Linked DNA regions of Mus musculus. The protein of the gene in region 1 interacts with the protein of each later gene in a biochemical or structural test. Links are inferred from orthologs where the notes say so. Each region holds a gene or a part of one and is shown on either strand. Other genes may lie near its edges.

Region 1 (8,260 bases):
ATCACAGGGAGTTTGTTAGATTCACCACATCCCAGAGCAAGGATGTAAGAACCTGTGCTCCACGTACAAAACATGCTAAAGCCCAAGGGTCACTGGTTTGAAGGAACTTCCGCTTAGAAGCAGCCTGGCTCACACTTCAGGGAGTCTTCCTGGAGGCCTGGATGTTGGCCCTTTCCAAAGGCTCTCTGGTTATTCTACTATGCATCCAGATCTGTACACTGTGGTTTAAAACTTACCAGCTTAAGGTAACACCACTCATATTCTCAGCAGGACCCGGGACCAAGCATGGCGATGTGTCTTCTCTTCACTCATTCCTGGTTTATTAAGCATTGGCTTTCCAGTGTATGACCTGCCTGATTTCTGTGGAAGATTGTCACACATCCTGTCCCTGTATCCACAGACTGACAGAAAGTATATCGGGTGTGAATCACCTCCCTGTGAGTTCAGCTCTACTCTTCCCTCCTCTTCTTCCCTGCCCTCTCCCCTTTCCTTCTGTGCTGGTTAATCTTGGCTGTCAACCTGACTGGACAATCAATTAAATGCAAAATGCAGAGTGAGCGATTTTCTTAGCCAGATTATTCGAAACAGGAAGACCCACCCTAAATGCAGGCTCCACCTTCTGGTGGCGGCTCAGATAAAAGGCGACAAAAGGATAATAGATTTTTCCCTGTTTGCCCTCATTCTTGCTGGCAACCACTCTATCTTGTTCCTTCACCAAGATTAGAACCAACCTTTTGGGCTTCCAAGACACACCGGAGATTAGCAGCTCTCCAGGAATCCTCCAGACCCCCAGCACCAGATTGGTACTGCAGAGACATCCAGACTCATGGACTGAGCAACCACCAGATTCTTGGACTCTCCAGGGTGGGACAGCCATCATTGGACTTCATGGACCATATCCTATATACCAACCTGACAATACACACACACAGACACACGCGCACACACTTTTTTTTTTTCCAAGACAGGGTTTCTCTGTGTAGCCCTGGCTGTCCTGGAACTCACTCTGTAGACCAGGCTGGCATCAAACTCAGAAATCCACCTGCCTCTGCCTCCCAAGTGCTGGGATTAAAGGCGTGTGGCATCATGCCCAACGAGTCCCCTTTTAATATATATCAACTCTACCAGATTTATTCCTTTAGGGAACCCTGACTACTCCCCCTTCCCTTCCCTCTCCTTTCTTCTCTTCTTTTCCCCTCTCTTTGTGTCTCTTCTCCCCACCTTGGTGAATAGATAGAGGAAACTCTCCTGGGGTGTACTTTGTTGAGTCATGTTTAGAAGGATATGTAAGAGTTCATTGGGTAAATGACAAGAAGTCCTTCTACACCGTGAGTGATGCACAAAACCAAAGCATTCACCAACGACAGCAGGTAAGCTAGAGTTGGTGATGAATTGTGATGGACATTTGTGGCTTGTGGGTGTCTACATCTTTGAGGGAGAAGATGATTCAATCAGTGACTCGTGGAGCAGCCCGTAGGACCTACTGGAAGAGAGACAACTTGATGTCCCTGTCTTGAACCCTCAGTGACTTTCAAATGAAAGGCTCCTACCCACAGGGATACTGGAGGGTGTGCTTTTGGGATGGCTTAGTACCAACCTCCAAATCATCTTGCAGGAAGAAGAACTGTCTGGCAAGGAGTTACTGGGAAGCGATGCTTTCCCATGATGGTAGCAGGTAACCATGGCCTCACTTACAACATGACATCCAAAAGCCATTGGCATGGGAACACAGCACTGAATGCATCAGGAGCCCGAGACCAGCCTGCACATCTCTGACTTCATTAACAAGGTCACCATTTGGAAAAATATAAAGGTAGTCTTCCAGTTCTAGCGTGCAGGATGGTGCTCAGGTGTCCAGCTAGTCTCTGTACAACTCTTTGTAGGAGTCAGGACTTAGCTACTATTTTCCAGAAGTCTCTTTGATCAGTAGTGTTTTCTAACACTCCTGAGCTGGGGTTGGGATATGATCAATGAAAAGTGGTTCGCTGTGTACTTATTCTAGTGTGCATGAGACCCTGAGTTCCATGATCTGACACAAGAAGGGTTGATTTATGGTTTGGTCTCTAGCTAAAAAGATGAATTGCATTAATGCCACTCTTCTTTTGGGGTGAGATAAAGCAGTAATAATAATTAATAATAATAATAAGTGGGAAGACAATGTCTATAAAGTGTTGACAAGCAAGCATAAATGTAGGCATGGTGGGGCTTGTGTGTAAAATCAGTGCTGAGCAGGTAAAGACAGCAGATACCTGGCCAGGTTAGCCCAATAGGTGAGCTCCAGGTCCCTGTGAGAGACTCTGTCTCAAAAAACAAGGAGTACAGCTCCTGGGAAATAATTTCACAAACACACACACACACACACAAGGGGAGGGGGGGCGGATGGACAGGAAAGTAGACCAATATGCAGACAGAGCAGGACTGCTTGAGGGGACCTCTGCAAAGCACAGTCCCTCGAAGCTTTCTGGGCCGCAACCCATCTCTAGTTTCTGCAGAGGGCGTGGGGCTGGTCTTCTGTGGACCACTGCAAAGGCGGAGAAGAGAACTTCCCAGATGTGGCTGATCCAGCTGCAGAGACACTGTGGAAGCCGCGACAGTGAGCGTTGAGTGTTTTGAGAAGCAATATGGGATTCAAAACCATTTTAGATAAGGAATGGATTGACTTTAGTCATCAGAAACCTAAGACTGACCAACGCCGTCAGAAATCCAAGACTGACCTGCAGGTGCCAAGCCAAGAAGTCATGGTTGAAAGGACAAGCAAGATCTGAGATCACAAGAACTGAGAAGGGGCTGGAGGACACCTCAGTGGGTAAACTGCTTGCCGCAAAGCCTGAGGACCTGAGTTCGGATGCCAGAGACCACGTAACGGTTGGGTGTGTGGAAAGCTGTCTTCAATCCCGTTTTTGGGAGGTGGAGACAAAAAGACATAAAGGAAAACCCTGTTTCAAAAAAAAAAAAAGAAAGAAAGAAAGGAAGGAAGGAAGGAAGGAAGGAAGGAAGAAAGAAAGAAAGAAAGAAAGAAAGAAAGAAAGAAAGAAAGAAAGAAAGAAAGAAAGAAAGAAAGAAAGAAAGAAAGAAAGAAAGAAAGAAAGAAAGAAAGAAAGGTGGAGTACAATTGACGAAGACTCCTCACGCCCTCAGGGGCGAGCGGGGAAGAGTCAGAATTATCTGCAAAGGAAGTTAAGATCCGCCGCAGGGTCTGTGCGAGGAGGAGCGAGCCGTGGTTCACAGCAGCTCCTAGGAGCGACAGCTCACCTGCTGTCTGGGTTTTTGCAGATTCGAGACCTTGCTCTGCAGAGCGGCTGCAGGGAGCGGCAGCAGCCTGGTCGCAGCTGTCACCCACGGGTGACCGGACGACGTCCGCGCGGGCGGCAGAGGCCGAGCCTGGGACTACACTTCCCAGTGTGCCAGGCGGGCGGGGCGCGGCGGGGAGGGCGCAGGCTCCTTCCCAGCAAGCGAAGGCGGAAACAAAAGAGTCCGGCGCCGCCGCCCGCACACTCGCGCACCGCGCCCGGGCGCACACGGAGCAGCCCTGCGAGGCGGCAGCCCGGGACACGCGGACACTCCGCAGCCCCCGCCGCCTGCCCCATGGCGCTGAAGCGGATCCAGAAAGTGAGTGGCTGCCAGAACCGGCCTGGGTGTCCCCAAGATGTCCCCAGGAACCCGGGGCGCACGGTGTGGGAGGGGCGCGGACACTGGGGAGGCCGGGGTACGGATCGGCCCGCACAGGTGAGGCGTGCATCCGCAAGGTCTGGGTACTTGGAACCTCGGGGCGACCCGATCCGGTCGTGCCCTTTCCAGGATGAGCCTAGAACCTCGGGTGCGGGTGCCCGTGGGGTGGCCAGATTGTCCCGGGGTGTGTGCATCCCCGCTGGGCCGGGGCTTGCTCTGCAACGGGCGGCCTTCGTCCCCTATCCCGCTGTGCGTCCTCACAATGTCCCCGGAGCCCTCCTTGCTGTGTTCGCACCCCGGGTTCCCCGAGAGGGCAGGGAAGGTGTGGTGGGCCTACGGCCTTTATTCTCAGAGCGTGGGGCTGGGTCTTTCTGGGCTCTGCAGTCGGCTGGTGCTCAGTGGGAGGAAAGGGCTGGGAACGCGAGATTGGGGCCGAGGAGCCAGCAGAGAGCTCTTGCCCCTGCTATTTTGGTGGTTCTGCACGCAGCTGCCACTTCAGGTCACATAGCTGTACTGAGAACATAGTTGCTGATACACAGCAAGATGAGCTCCTGGCTGTGATTCATGGCTAGGTAAGCTAAGCAGGTTGTTGGTTTTGTTTTGTATTTTTTTCTTCACACCCTCACGATAAACTTAGATGTAGAGTTGAAGACACAACACTAAGGACCACAAATTAAATTGTTTGGATGCTTTGATGTGTGAATAGAGAATGAGGAAGACAATCGAAGGGACAGTCAGTCCTTACATAGGATCGGTTCCAACCCTCTCTTTGTATTCTTTACCGCACCCACTTCTCTTGTTGGCCTGTCCCCTATCTCAAGTATCTTTTAACATTTTACAGCGGTAGTCCTTGCTGCTGGGAACGTGGTGTTTGGGATCGCTTTAGAAGCAAATGCGCCAACAGTGGATAATGTGTTTGGTAATTGATTTCACAAGAAATGGTTGGCTCCCCAAACGTTTTATCAACCTTTCCAGCTACACTTGACTGAAAATGTTCTGAGTTAGAGTGGTAGGAAACAGGCATCTTTCGGTACTGAGGACAGCAACTTTTACCCGCAGCCAAATTTTCGTTTGTTTTTTGTTTATTTGTTTTTGTTTTTGTTTTGTTTTTGTTTTTTTTTTTTTTTTTTAATAAACCTTAGCTGTGTAGATCATCGCTGTTCTTTGTGCCGCTGAAGGTCAACTCGGTATAAAATGTTAAGATCAGCGTTTATTAAATAATGACGTTTTCTCGTTTGAAGATAACACGGTGGCACTTTATTTTTAACCATATAAACAAGCTTAATTTTGAAGCTGCAATCGTCATTACCGTGCCGATTTCTGAACGCCGACCAATCTACTGTTGGTTCCCATTTGGAAGTTTTCAAACTTTGCTTCCTTTCATGATGGTGAAGCATTTCCATGTGGCTTTGCACTCCTCTTCTCTCTCTCTGTCTCTCTCTGTCTCTGTCTGTCTGTCTGTCTCTCTCTCTTTCTCTCTCTCTCTCACACACACACAGTAGCTCTTAGATACCAAAGGAGTTATCTATAGTATATATCCATCCAGAGAAATAAGACATTATTTTATGTGTAGGCTTGATGCATCTTGTTGCTCATGCTAAGCCTGTGTATTTGACTTATGTTAATATGGCAAATTTCCACATCTTCTTTCTCTCTTCCTTCCTTCCTTTCTTTTGTTTAGTAGATACTGTGTGTTAAACAGAGTTGTCTAGTATGAAGATAACCTTAAATACAGCTGATGGGGAATCTGTGACAAACTGGTATTTTGGAGAAGACACCAGAGGTCACATGATCCTATAGTCCTGTCATTGACTGCCACAAATCACATCAGTCATACAAGCCAGCCACCCCTTCCCCCCCACCCCCCACCAGCTGATTCTCCCGTTTTCTTCCTTCCTTGCCTGTCATCTTGCTTAGAACCAAGTCTAGGGTGGACAGGCTGCACCGGGGGCAGCTACAGTGCCCTCTGACATCCTGTGTTCAGATTCTCATTTGAATCACGTTCAAATGTTGAGTTCAATGCTCACCTTTGGCCTTAAAAAAAAAAAAGATTTATTTTTAGTGTGCGTATCTGTGAGTACGTGCCACATGTGTGAGGGTGGCCACAGAGGCTAGAAGAAGGAAGAGAGGACAATCAGGTATCCTGATGCCAGAGCCATTGGCGGATGTGATGTGAGCTGTCTAGTGTGAGTGCTGGGAATTGAACTTGGGTCCTCTGGAGGAGTAATAAATGTTCTTCACTGCTGAGCCATTTCTCAAGCCCCTACCCCCCTCCTCCTCTTCTTCCTCCTCCATCTTCTTCTTTTGAGTATCTTTTAAAGCAATCAGAAAACTTCAGGCCATTGGGCAGTGCTATTTCTTTACCTAAAGTATCAGGCCTCAAAGCTCATAGAACTCCAGGTTTGCAGTGGTGTAGCCAAGAGTGCAGGCAAAGAGACAGTCCCTAGGGCAGGGAGCAGAGTCACAGCAGAGCCCAGGGCTGCCAGTGGAAAGATGCTGAACCTCCAGGTTGAGGTGGGGTTAACATGGAAAGGTCAAAAGCCCTGATGTTCTCCTCTGTTCTCTTTATTCAAAGAGGGAACCTGAGGCGGGAGTTGGGACGAGTTTTTCCCAGGCTTAATCTCTTGAGAAGTGATTTGGCACATTTGAGAATAATGGTCACAGCTTCTCATTTCTCCACCTATGAAAAGAACAAAGATGATGTTGGATTAAAACTGTCTTTCTACAAAGCGTGTGGACATAGGCGCTTCAAATAGATCCCCATGCTGGAGTAGACTAAAGGATTTAATGCTCTAATTTAGACACCCTGTGCCAGTTCTGCATTTCAGCTCATAAATTTACACACCCGTGGCCTATTTTTAGACATAGAGAAAGATGTTATTACAGCCGCCTAAATCACTGAAGGGATAAAGTTTGAGCAAAATCGGAGGGGAGAAGCCTGCGGTAGATTTGACAAAAGAGAGCAGCTTTCAGTTGGGTGTCTATTGTTAGTTGTTTTTTAGGTGTTTCTTTGGTGAACACTGTTTTTCAGTCCTCAGTACATTTTGCTTTGAAAAAAAAAATCACCTTTTTTAAACGATAAATGTTACAATACAATACCGAACACTTTGAGACCCGAGGGAGAAAGAACCCTAATACAGCTGCCATCAACATCGTAGTCTCTGTCTCCTTTTGTGTTTATTTTCCAGAAGGAATTTTAGGTAATAATCTGCTACGTGCTATGTACTAGACCTCGGCCTTTTTTTTTCTTTTGGTCTATCTTCTGAAGAGTGAGACAAAAGGCTTTTCTTTTACAAATATCGTGACACATAATTATCCTTCCCTGTATAGTGTTCTGTCCCAAAATGAAACATTTGAGCCTGGGAGTGTGGCTCAGTGCTAAGACACACACCTACTGCTTTCAAGGCTCCGAGTTCAGCTGCCTGTGCCCACAAGAATAAATAAGTTGCCCTTGTATCCAAAAATCGAACATTTGGCTTTTTAATAATTAACCTAAATTGTGTGCACGAAGGTAAATTAAAATGCAGGTTTTGTCACTGTTTTGAGCTGCTCTGATTTTGACTCGTAGGCTTTCTGAATCACAGCGTCTGTGTTGCTCTAGGAAGCACCGTATCTTCCGCAGCCAGGCCCTCTGTGCCTGCGCCATCAAGGTCAAGAGAGGACCCAGGTTTTGTTCCCGGCTCTGTGACTGACTTCAGTTTTTCTTACCCATCCATGTCCCAAAGGATGACAACCACCGCTGTGTGCGGAGGTCGCTCTGCCTAACACCATGCCAAAAGCTTACCTTTCATGAGCTGTCTGACCCTTCATGAGGCAGTAGAGCTAGAAACAATCTGATTCCCGTTCTGCAGATGATGAAACAAAGGCAGGAGATGTTAACTGGAGTTCACAGGATCACATATCTGGCATAGGGAAATGGCTAGGATTCCAAACGGGACAGTATGCCATAAGCACAGACCTCTCCCTCCATCATATGGACCGTTATGTTGTTGGGTGTTTGTTTGTTTGTTTGTTTTTAACTGAAAGACATGAAGTCAATTGGCAAAGTGCTCACCTGGTATGCACACATCCCTAGCATGGTGGCTCCCTCCTGTTATCCCAGTGTTCTGGAGACAGGGTTGGGAAGTTCAAGGTCACCCTCAGTTTCATACAGAGCTGGAGGTCAGCCTGGACCAGAAGAGACCCTATCTCAAAGACAAACACATAAGAAAGATTTAAGTCAGATGAATTGATGGAGACGAGTGCTCAGCGAGATGATGTTCAACCCTGTAATTAGAACTCTGCATGTTTAATTGCCACCACAGCTCAGCGCTGAGTGACGACGCTCAGTCACCCTGCTCCTCAGAGATGACCCTTGTCACTAAACACTGGAGAATAACAGCTTCATTCATCTTCCCCATACCCCTGGAAACGTTGACTCCTTCCAGAGGGATTTAGAAAAACAACTGCTTAGAGTTCTTTAGATAGTCTGATGGTAGCCTTATTGTGGAATTTTCATTTGCCATAATTGTGAATTGGTCTGATCGTTTAAGTGCCTGTCGTGGCTTTGAGTACTAATTCACATTAGAAGATCAAATGAAAGATTACAGAA
Region 2 (8,321 bases), on another chromosome or scaffold:
TCAAGACAGGGTTTCTCTCTGTGACCCTGGCTGTCCTGGAATTCACTTTGTAGACTAGGCTGGTCTTGAACTCAGAAATCTGCCTCCTGGGTGCTGGGATAAACAGCAAGCACCACTATGCCCTGCTTCAATTTAGACTTGTTGTCCCTTCCCTCTTGATGCTGAAAAGGCAGATCCCAGAGGCTTTTCCTGACAACTGTGATATAATTTGTGAGTCAGCCACATTTTGGGACAAATGGCTTGCAAGTATGCACAAGGCCCAGTTTTTTCTTCTTCTTCTTTGTTGTTGGTTTTTTTTTTTTTTTTTTTTTTTGGTTTTTTGACACAGGGTTTCTCTGTATAGCCAAGATGGCCTCGAACTCAGAAATCTGCCTGTCTCTGCCTCCCGAGTGCTGGGATTAAAGGCCTGAGCCACCACTGCCCAGCGCTGCTGCTTCTTCTTCTTTTCTGTCAGCTGTTGAGTTACGACTTTACACAGCATTTTCATAAAACCAGTAGGTGACTTTCTTTAATTATTTTGTTAAAACTCCAGTTTGTTTTCCAGAGATATAAGCTTCTTTGTGCAGCTACCTCCCCCTATGATCCTTAAGACTATCCAGATTTGGGGTTGGTATTTCAATCCAATTTATTAAGTCCTCAGGGAGGAGGAAGGCCACATCTTCCACCATAGACCCTTTGTCATCTTGACAGCTTCTGCTTTCTCCTGTCTCCTCAGCTCTGCCTTGGATTCCCCAGAGAGAGGGATCTGCTGTCTGGTGTGCCCTGAATCTAACACCCAAGAGGAGACTAGAAATCCTTGGTGTGTGTCTTAGGTCTCCTCAGGAAGAGCCAGGGGCAAAGTGATTCTAAGCATCAGGCAAGCACAGCAGGCAGGCTGGAGTAGGGGGAGAACAGACTAAGTTCTTTACCGCAAAGGAGAAAACCACACTGGAGAGGGAAAATAAATAGAATAGCCCAGGGTAGCAGAATCCAGGTCCTCCAGGGCATAGCGACTGTAATAGCAGTGGATGGCTTGGAAGCCTGGCACACTAGTCCTGGGACCATGCCAGATCAGCCACTGAGGAAGAGACGCTTGTAGGCCTTGTTCATCTGTTCCAAGAAGATGAAGGTGAGGACAGTGTGGGGGCCCAGTCGGGCATAGTATGGTGTGAAGCCCTTCCACAGGCTGAAGAAACCCTCATAGCGGACGACTTTCAGCAGCACATCCTAGACAGACAGGCAGGCAAGTGCTGGGGCTAGGCCCTGGTCCTGGTCCAGGCTCTGTCCCCTGTCCCTAGCTCCCTTCGCATCCCTCCCAGGGCACCCCTTCCCCCCCCTCCTCACCAGCCCATTCTTGTATTCTGGCTTCCCATCAATCATCCGCATATTCTGGATCCTGAAAGAGAGTCAGTATGAACATGAAAACCAGAAAGGGGGGCCTCCCCAAGTTCTCCAGTCCCAGGCTGCAGACTCACCTAGTTTTGACGATGTCCACAGGCATGGAAGCAGCAGTGGTAACGAGGCCACTGATCATGCTGGCGCAGAAGTGGCAGAGAATATTGTCAGAGAAGTAGCCTGGGAGGTGAAGCAAAAGGTGGTAGTCAACTCTCAGGTAGCTCAGGCCAGGCTCAAGTTCTCAGCTCTGGGTCTCTCACCTGAGTCCAGCAAGAACTGCTTAGATTGAGAGTAAGAGGCAAGCTGGGCGGCATTGACAACGACAGCTCGAGCCATGGTAGGGATGCAGCCCTGGAGGTGGAGGGTGGAGGCAATGGAGACAGTCAAAAGTGCCAGAGATCTAACCCAGCATGGCCCAAGACTCCAACCCTCGCACTCACCCGCCACAGTGTGGGGACTCCTTCTTCCCTGGCAATCCTAACTAGGGCATTAAACACATTTTTGTAGCCACGGCGCTGGTCAGCTGGAAGCCTGGGGGAAAGGCAGGGAAAGGCCAAGATCAGGACAGACCAGGGTCCATGGAACAAAGAAAGGGAAGCCTGAATAGGTAAGTGCCCTGATGTAGATATAGACTAACAACACCATCCTAGAGTCCAGGAATGGGGCTGGAGTTAAGCTCAGAAACGGAACTCACCGACCATCAGCAGTCATCCTGATGAGAGCCACCTCAGCTGGCGTTCCCACAAATGCACCAGTTGCACCTGCAGTCATGCCAATCAGGGCTTTCAGAAGAAAGCCAGGGGGTGTACCATCAGCCCCAGTCAGGCGCTCAAACAACACAGTATATATTCCAAGGCGAGTAGTGGTGTAGGTGGCCTGGCGCAGTAGACCAGCTGACAGCCTGAAGAGTAGAAATGTCAGCACATCAGGCCAAGGTCTGGACCTGCCAACCAACAACTTCCCTCCCCAACTTGAGGCCACAGTACCCAGTGTAAATGCCCTTCAGGCCTTCTGTCTTCAGGATGCTGGTGAGGGCATGGAAACTGGTTTTGTACTCTCGAGTCTTGGCCCCTTCACCACTCAACTGCATCCGGTTCTTCACCAGGTCCAGGGGCTGCACAAAGACTGTAGCACCCATCCTGAAGTGAGGCAGGAAAGGGAATCAGAGGTCAGTGGTTCCAGCTCTACTGCAACCTGGCAAGAAGTTACAAAGGTCAGGGCCACTAAGGATTCAGGAGGCTGGTGGGCATGTGTGTTAAGTGTGTGCATCAAGGGCAACGTGCCAGCAAAAGAGTCCAGTTGCCCAGTAAGGGGCATGCAAATCAAAAAGCCTCAGGCAGTTCTTTAGGGTTCAAGCAGAATTAGGACTACAGGCGATCTAAAGAAAGGTGGAGAGGGCGTCCCCATCCTAAGACTCCAAGCAGTCCTATAACAAAGCCTTTAATGACCTATACCCACCACCCAAACAGGCACAACGAAGCAAAGGTGGTGGAAACACAGGGTAAAGATCCTTGAATGCAGCACAGTTGGGTCCCTGCAAAGGATGAATAGATCCTGGCAACCCATCAGGGACCCTGCACCGGCTCAATTTACTGCAACACACCCCAAGTTACACTGGGCCCAGGTGCTTGCTCCCGTCCCTTCCTCCTTTTCCCCCATCACTGGGGCCTGAGCTTACCCAGCCAGGCCCCCAAACAGGAACTTGACAGACTTAGGGGAGGTACGGGGTTTCCCGTCCATCCGGCCAGCCCCAGGACTCGCCGTCGCCGCCATCGCCCCTTGATGGCCCTCGGCTTTGGGTCCCGTGCACGTACAGCCCCGCTCGCGCCCAAGGTGACACCAGCGCGCAACAGGGTGAGGGCGCGCGCGCGCACGCCCCTCCGACAGGCAAATCTGGCTCCAGCTGGAAGCTGGGGCGGGCGCAGGCTCGGAGCGCAAAGGCAGCCGGGGAATAAGGCGGGGCTAAGATGCACGATGAAGGGGCGTGGCCGATTTAGGAAGCTACCCTAAATTCCCGCCCCTCCGGAATTGGAATCGCGGGGAAAAAAAAAAAAAAAAAGCTTGTTTGAAAACCTCGCGAGAGCAAGTGAATCAGCCGAGTTCGGGCTATGAGGCCTCTCGCGATATATTTCAGCGGCGAAAGGGGGTGGGGGGGTGGAGGGAGGGTGGTGGCAAGCACTCTCGCGATACTTTGAACGTACCGTGGCGGCCAGACGAAGGAGAGGTTTGTAAACAGGGCAGCTCCAGGATCTCAGGGACTGAGGGAAAAAAACTAGATCGTCTCCTGAGCATCGAAGCTCCCTCCATCTCCGCAGGCTCCTTCTACATGTCAAACATTTCTTTCAACCGGCCTCTCGGGACCGGAAGTCCTCCGTCCTGAGCGTCCAATACTGGAATTGGCCTTTCTTACCGGAAACCCTTTTCCAGGGGCATAGGAAGACAGTCTACCTGGCCGGAAGTCCCACCTCTTTGAGGTTTCTCCTACCCTTCCGGAAGTTTTTTTGTTGTTGTTGTTACCTGTTTGCCTTCGCTCCTATTCTGTCCTATTTCTGTACTAGAGAAAGATACATTGTCTCCCCTACCAGCTCCGCTAAGCTGGTTTGATAGCTCACTCCCTGAATCGGAGTTCCTTCCCCGACGCCCCCATGTAGCTGAGAAGTGGGACCTAGGGGTGGTTGGACCCCTGGGATCCTGAAGGAGAGGCAGAGGAGGGCGCAGGACTCGGCTTCTGCTCCTGCGATCAGAACGCGACCTTCGCAGCTTTACCCCTCCCGCTGCCATGCACCCTGCGGCCTTCCCGCTTCCTGTTGTCGTGGCTACTGTACTGTGGGGAGCAGCCCCTGTCCGAGGGCTGATTCGAGCGGTGAGTCTGAGGGTCGGACGGGGACAGGGTGCTGAGAATGGGGTTCAGACTGAAACACGTAGTGTTCCGTCTGCAGACTTCGGAGCACAATGCCAGCATGGACTTTGCAGACCTTCCAGCTCTGTTTGGGGCCACTCTGAGCGACGAGGGACTGCAGGTGATGTTTTCCCCATTTCCCTATATGGATCCTGGGTAGGGGCGAAGTGGCCGTGCTCAGGAGGTAGGAAGTAGTGGAGTTAGCAGCGGAATGCAGTGGACTGCGGATAGTTCAATGATAGGGTGCTTTTTCTAGTATGAGTGAGATTCTAGGTTGAATCTCCAGCAAAAAAAAAAAAGTGTCCCCAATCCAGAAAAACCTAAGTGCATGATCATGTCCAGCGCGCAGAGTCCAGAATCCAGAGATAATAGATAGTGCCCACCTCTAGAACTTAACATTTTTTATTTTATATGCATAGGTGTGAGAGTGTCAGATCCCCTGGAACTGGAGTTACAGTCAGTTGTGAGCTGCTACATGGATGCTAGGAACTGAACTCCGGTTCTCTGGAAGAACAGCCAGTGCGCTTAAGCACTGAACCATCTACAACCCCTAGAACTCCCAAGTTTAAGAGGGAGTCTGAGAGTGGGCTAAGATAAAAAGCAGGTGCTTATCAGCAGTCTCTGGAGCAACTTACTGTTTGTATAGATGGCCATGGACAGCTTTTTATGGGTTCTGAGTCAAATGAGAAATAGAAATTAACCTAGGGCTATCGTGCCAGTGTGATAAGCATGTCTGTAGTAGTTCACTACAAAGTTCATGCCACATAGCAAGAATTCATTCGGCCACAGTTAGCAGTAGAGTTGTAAGATGGCTAATTGGAAAATGAAACTTGTTGAAAATGCCATGAATGAGTAGCAAGGTGAACCACTATCGGTGGGAAACTTAAAAGCAGAACTAAACTACGCTTGAGAAGTTAAGGGAGCCTCTGGTAAGGGATGTAGTTTACTGTAACTGCATCTTCAAGAAAGCTGAGAGATCCCTTTTCTTTTTTCTTTTTTTTGAGACTGGACTCTGGAACTCTGGCTGTCCCCAACTCACAGTAGTCTCAAGTGCTGGGATTAAATGCATGTATCACCATGTCTGAGTTGTAGATTCAGTGTTGGGTGGGATGCTCAGACCTCCAGAATGAGCAATGATAGAGCTGCAGAATGCAGGTAGTATATAGTGTTATGTGTGGTAGGTCCTGTGGAAGACAGAACTAAAGATGAAAATGTTTGCCTTTATCCCTCAGGGGTTCCTTGTGGAGGCCCACCCAGAAAATGCCTGCGGTCCTATTGCCCCACCACCCTCAGCCCCGGTCAATGGGTCAGTCTTTATTGCACTGCTTCGAAGATTCGACTGCAACTTTGACCTCAAGGTTGCTGAATGGGGAATGGGAGGTGGTAAGCAGGGTACATGACACCAGGAATGAAGGGCAAGGGTTACAGCTCTATCCCTCCCGCTTGGCCTCCTTAGGTCCTAAATGCTCAGAAGGCTGGGTATGGTGCAGCTGTGGTGCACAATGTGAATTCCAATGAACTGCTGAACATGGTGTGGAACAGCGGTAAGGAAGAAGCCTGCACTACTGGGTGCACCGTGGAGTTGAGTGGGAGGGCAATTGGTTGAGATCTGCAAAAAGTGCCAAAAGCCAGTTTCAGGGAATTGAGGAACAGAAGGCTAAATCCCTAATATCCTGCTCCTTACAGAGGAAATCCAACAGCAGATCTGGATCCCATCTGTATTTATTGGAGAGAGAAGCGCAGAGTACCTACGAGCCCTTTTTGTCTACGAGAAGGGGTAGGACGCATGCTTTCTTCCAGTTCTTCTCAATCCACTCAGGCTCAGGCTCTTCCTCGGCTGCCTTGACTTTCTCCTCATTATGCCTTGTCCCAAGCCAGTAACCCTATTTTACCTGGCTTGAGGTTGTGTCTCTCTCTCCTCAGGGCTCGGGTGCTTCTGGTTCCAGACAACAGCTTCCCCTTGGGCTATTACCTCATTCCTTTCACTGGGATTGTAGGATTACTGGTTTTGGCCATGGGAACAGTATTGGTAAGTAGCTGAGGAGAACTTACGATGCCAGACTGGATCGGTAGAGGGGAGGGTTTATTGCATTTTCCAATCATTTTTTAAGCCTGGTCCACTCTTCCTTATCCCTAGATAGTTCGTTGCATCCAGCACCGGAAACGGCTTCAGCGGAACCGACTTACCAAAGAGCAACTGAAACAGATTCCTACCCATGACTATCAGAAAGGTAAGGGCAGGAGAAGGGGCCTTTCTCCTAGCTGGCCTCATCTTGAAGGATTTTTGAACCCAGTGAGTAGATAAAGGGTTCAAAAAAGAACCGGAAAGGTGCCACCTTTGCTTGGTTAAAAAAAAAAAAAAAAAAAAAAAAAAAAAAAAAAGATGACCAACCAACCACAAGCAAAGGAGGTAGGGTAGAGCAGGCGCTGGAAAGCAGAGATGAACAAAGGAAACTTGACTTTGTGTGTGGGGTGTAAGAGGTGTAAGAGCCAGAAGAACTCAAAGCAAGCAGGTGAGGGGTTGGGTTATCTAGACTTGGAGCCTCCAGTACCATATAAGGCTATAGCAAACGCCTCGCCCCTCCCAGTTCTGCTTTCCCCTCCTACCCCCCCCCAACTCACTTCCCTTATCTCTGCTTGTCCCCTCTAGCCCCAAGATTTTATGTGGTGCCCTAAGTTTGCACTGGCTTGGTAGAAAACGGGGCAATAAGACTTGTACAGTGAGTTTTCTTGGGCGTGACTGCCAATAGTTGAGTGAATCCTTTCCTTTCCCAGGAGATGAATATGACGTCTGTGCCATCTGTCTGGATGAATATGAGGATGGGGACAAGCTTCGAGTACTTCCCTGTGCTCATGGTAAGGCCCACATGTGCCTGTGTCTGTGTTCCTGCCCAACCTGCAGAGACCAGCCTTTCATATAAACCACTCCACAGCTTATCACAGTCGCTGTGTGGACCCCTGGCTCACTCAGACCCGCAAGACCTGCCCCATCTGCAAACAGCCTGTACATCGGGGTCCTGGCGATGAGGAGCAGGAAGAAGAAACTCAAGAGCAAGAGGAAGGCGATGAAGGGGAGCCAAGGGACCAACCTGCTTCAGAATGGACCCCACTCCTGGGCTCTAGCCCTACTCTTCCCACCTCCTTTGGATCCCTAGCCCCTGCTCCCCTGGTCTTCCCTGGGCCCTCCACAGATCCCTCACCTCCTTCATCTGCTGCCCTGGCCTGACACCCCCATACTTGGTACCTCTGGTGACCGTCCTATTTGCACAAACTCTTTTTCCAGTCTAATAAGCTGAGGGTGAGGGATAGGGGACATTCTACCCCAGGTTCATGAACCCAGCCTCATCCTTTTGAGGGGGCTAGAAGCCATAGGGACATGGTTTTCATTTCTTGGATTAATAAAATTGGTTTTTTTTTGTGGATGAAAAAAAAAGGTTAAGATCATCTTTACACAGGTGAAATTCTGGAAAAATAATCACCTCATAGGATGAACTTGTCGGGGAGAGCCCTAGCTGCATTTGCTATGACTCAGGGAGGGGAGCCCCACCTACACAGGATGACTCAAGTGGCCCTGCCTCACCCGCAGGCTTGGACCCATTCTCTGGTCTGGATGGCTATGTTCCATTACATACTAATTCAACTGGACCTGAAAATGGAAATACCACTATAGAGGGGCCTAGGTCACATGACTAAGTACACAGAAGAATGCCTACTTAGTTTAGTCCTTGGGGCTTAGAAAAGGAAATAAGACTGGAAATAAGAGTTCATTCTGGACACAGCCAAGAAGCAGGTACCTAATTGAGGTGGGTCACTGTGCTTGTCTCCCAACTAATGCCAAGTGCAAACCAACACAGGTCCTTGTTAGTAGAATCTTTTTTTATTCAGAAAAAAAAAAAAAAAAAAAAGACCAAAAAACAAAAAATGAAACCCAAAAACAAAAATTTTCCAAACACACACAGGAGGGGGTATGGGTAGGGGGAGGTGTCTGTCCATCCAGCCCCAGCCCCCAGCCCATGTGGTTTTGGCAGCAATAAGGGAAATGGGGTAA

The links. The genes of interacting proteins can lie anywhere in the genome.
Region 2: the proteins of Ube2d1 (region 1) and Rnf167 form a complex in vitro, tested with the Homo sapiens proteins (3 studies listed by BioGRID). The link is inferred for Mus musculus from reciprocal best matches to the Homo sapiens genes UBE2D1 and RNF167.

What each region holds. Positions count from the first base shown.
Region 1 is NC_000076.6:71,280,450-71,288,709, reverse strand, and holds the start of Ube2d1 (ubiquitin-conjugating enzyme E2 D1), read left to right. Parts: upstream 1-3,447; 5' UTR 3,448-3,585; coding exon 3,586-3,609; intron 3,610-8,260.
Region 2 is NC_000077.6:70,643,716-70,652,036, forward strand, and holds Rnf167 (E3 ubiquitin-protein ligase RNF167 isoform 1 precursor), read left to right. Parts: upstream 1-3,519; 5' UTR 3,520-4,153; coding exon 4,154-4,237; intron 4,238-4,299; exon of another isoform or gene 4,300-4,313; coding exon 4,314-4,394; intron 4,395-4,692; exon of another isoform or gene 4,693-4,877; intron 4,878-5,505; coding exon 5,506-5,631; intron 5,632-5,729; coding exon 5,730-5,817; intron 5,818-5,959; coding exon 5,960-6,050; intron 6,051-6,196; coding exon 6,197-6,302; intron 6,303-6,410; coding exon 6,411-6,504; intron 6,505-7,048; coding exon 7,049-7,129; intron 7,130-7,206; coding exon 7,207-7,499; 3' UTR 7,500-7,706; downstream 7,707-8,321. Other genes in the region: Slc25a11 (mitochondrial 2-oxoglutarate/malate carrier protein), read right to left, coding at 1,051-1,206, 1,324-1,375, 1,455-1,554, 1,635-1,725, 1,815-1,905, 2,069-2,275, 2,361-2,513, 3,053-3,147.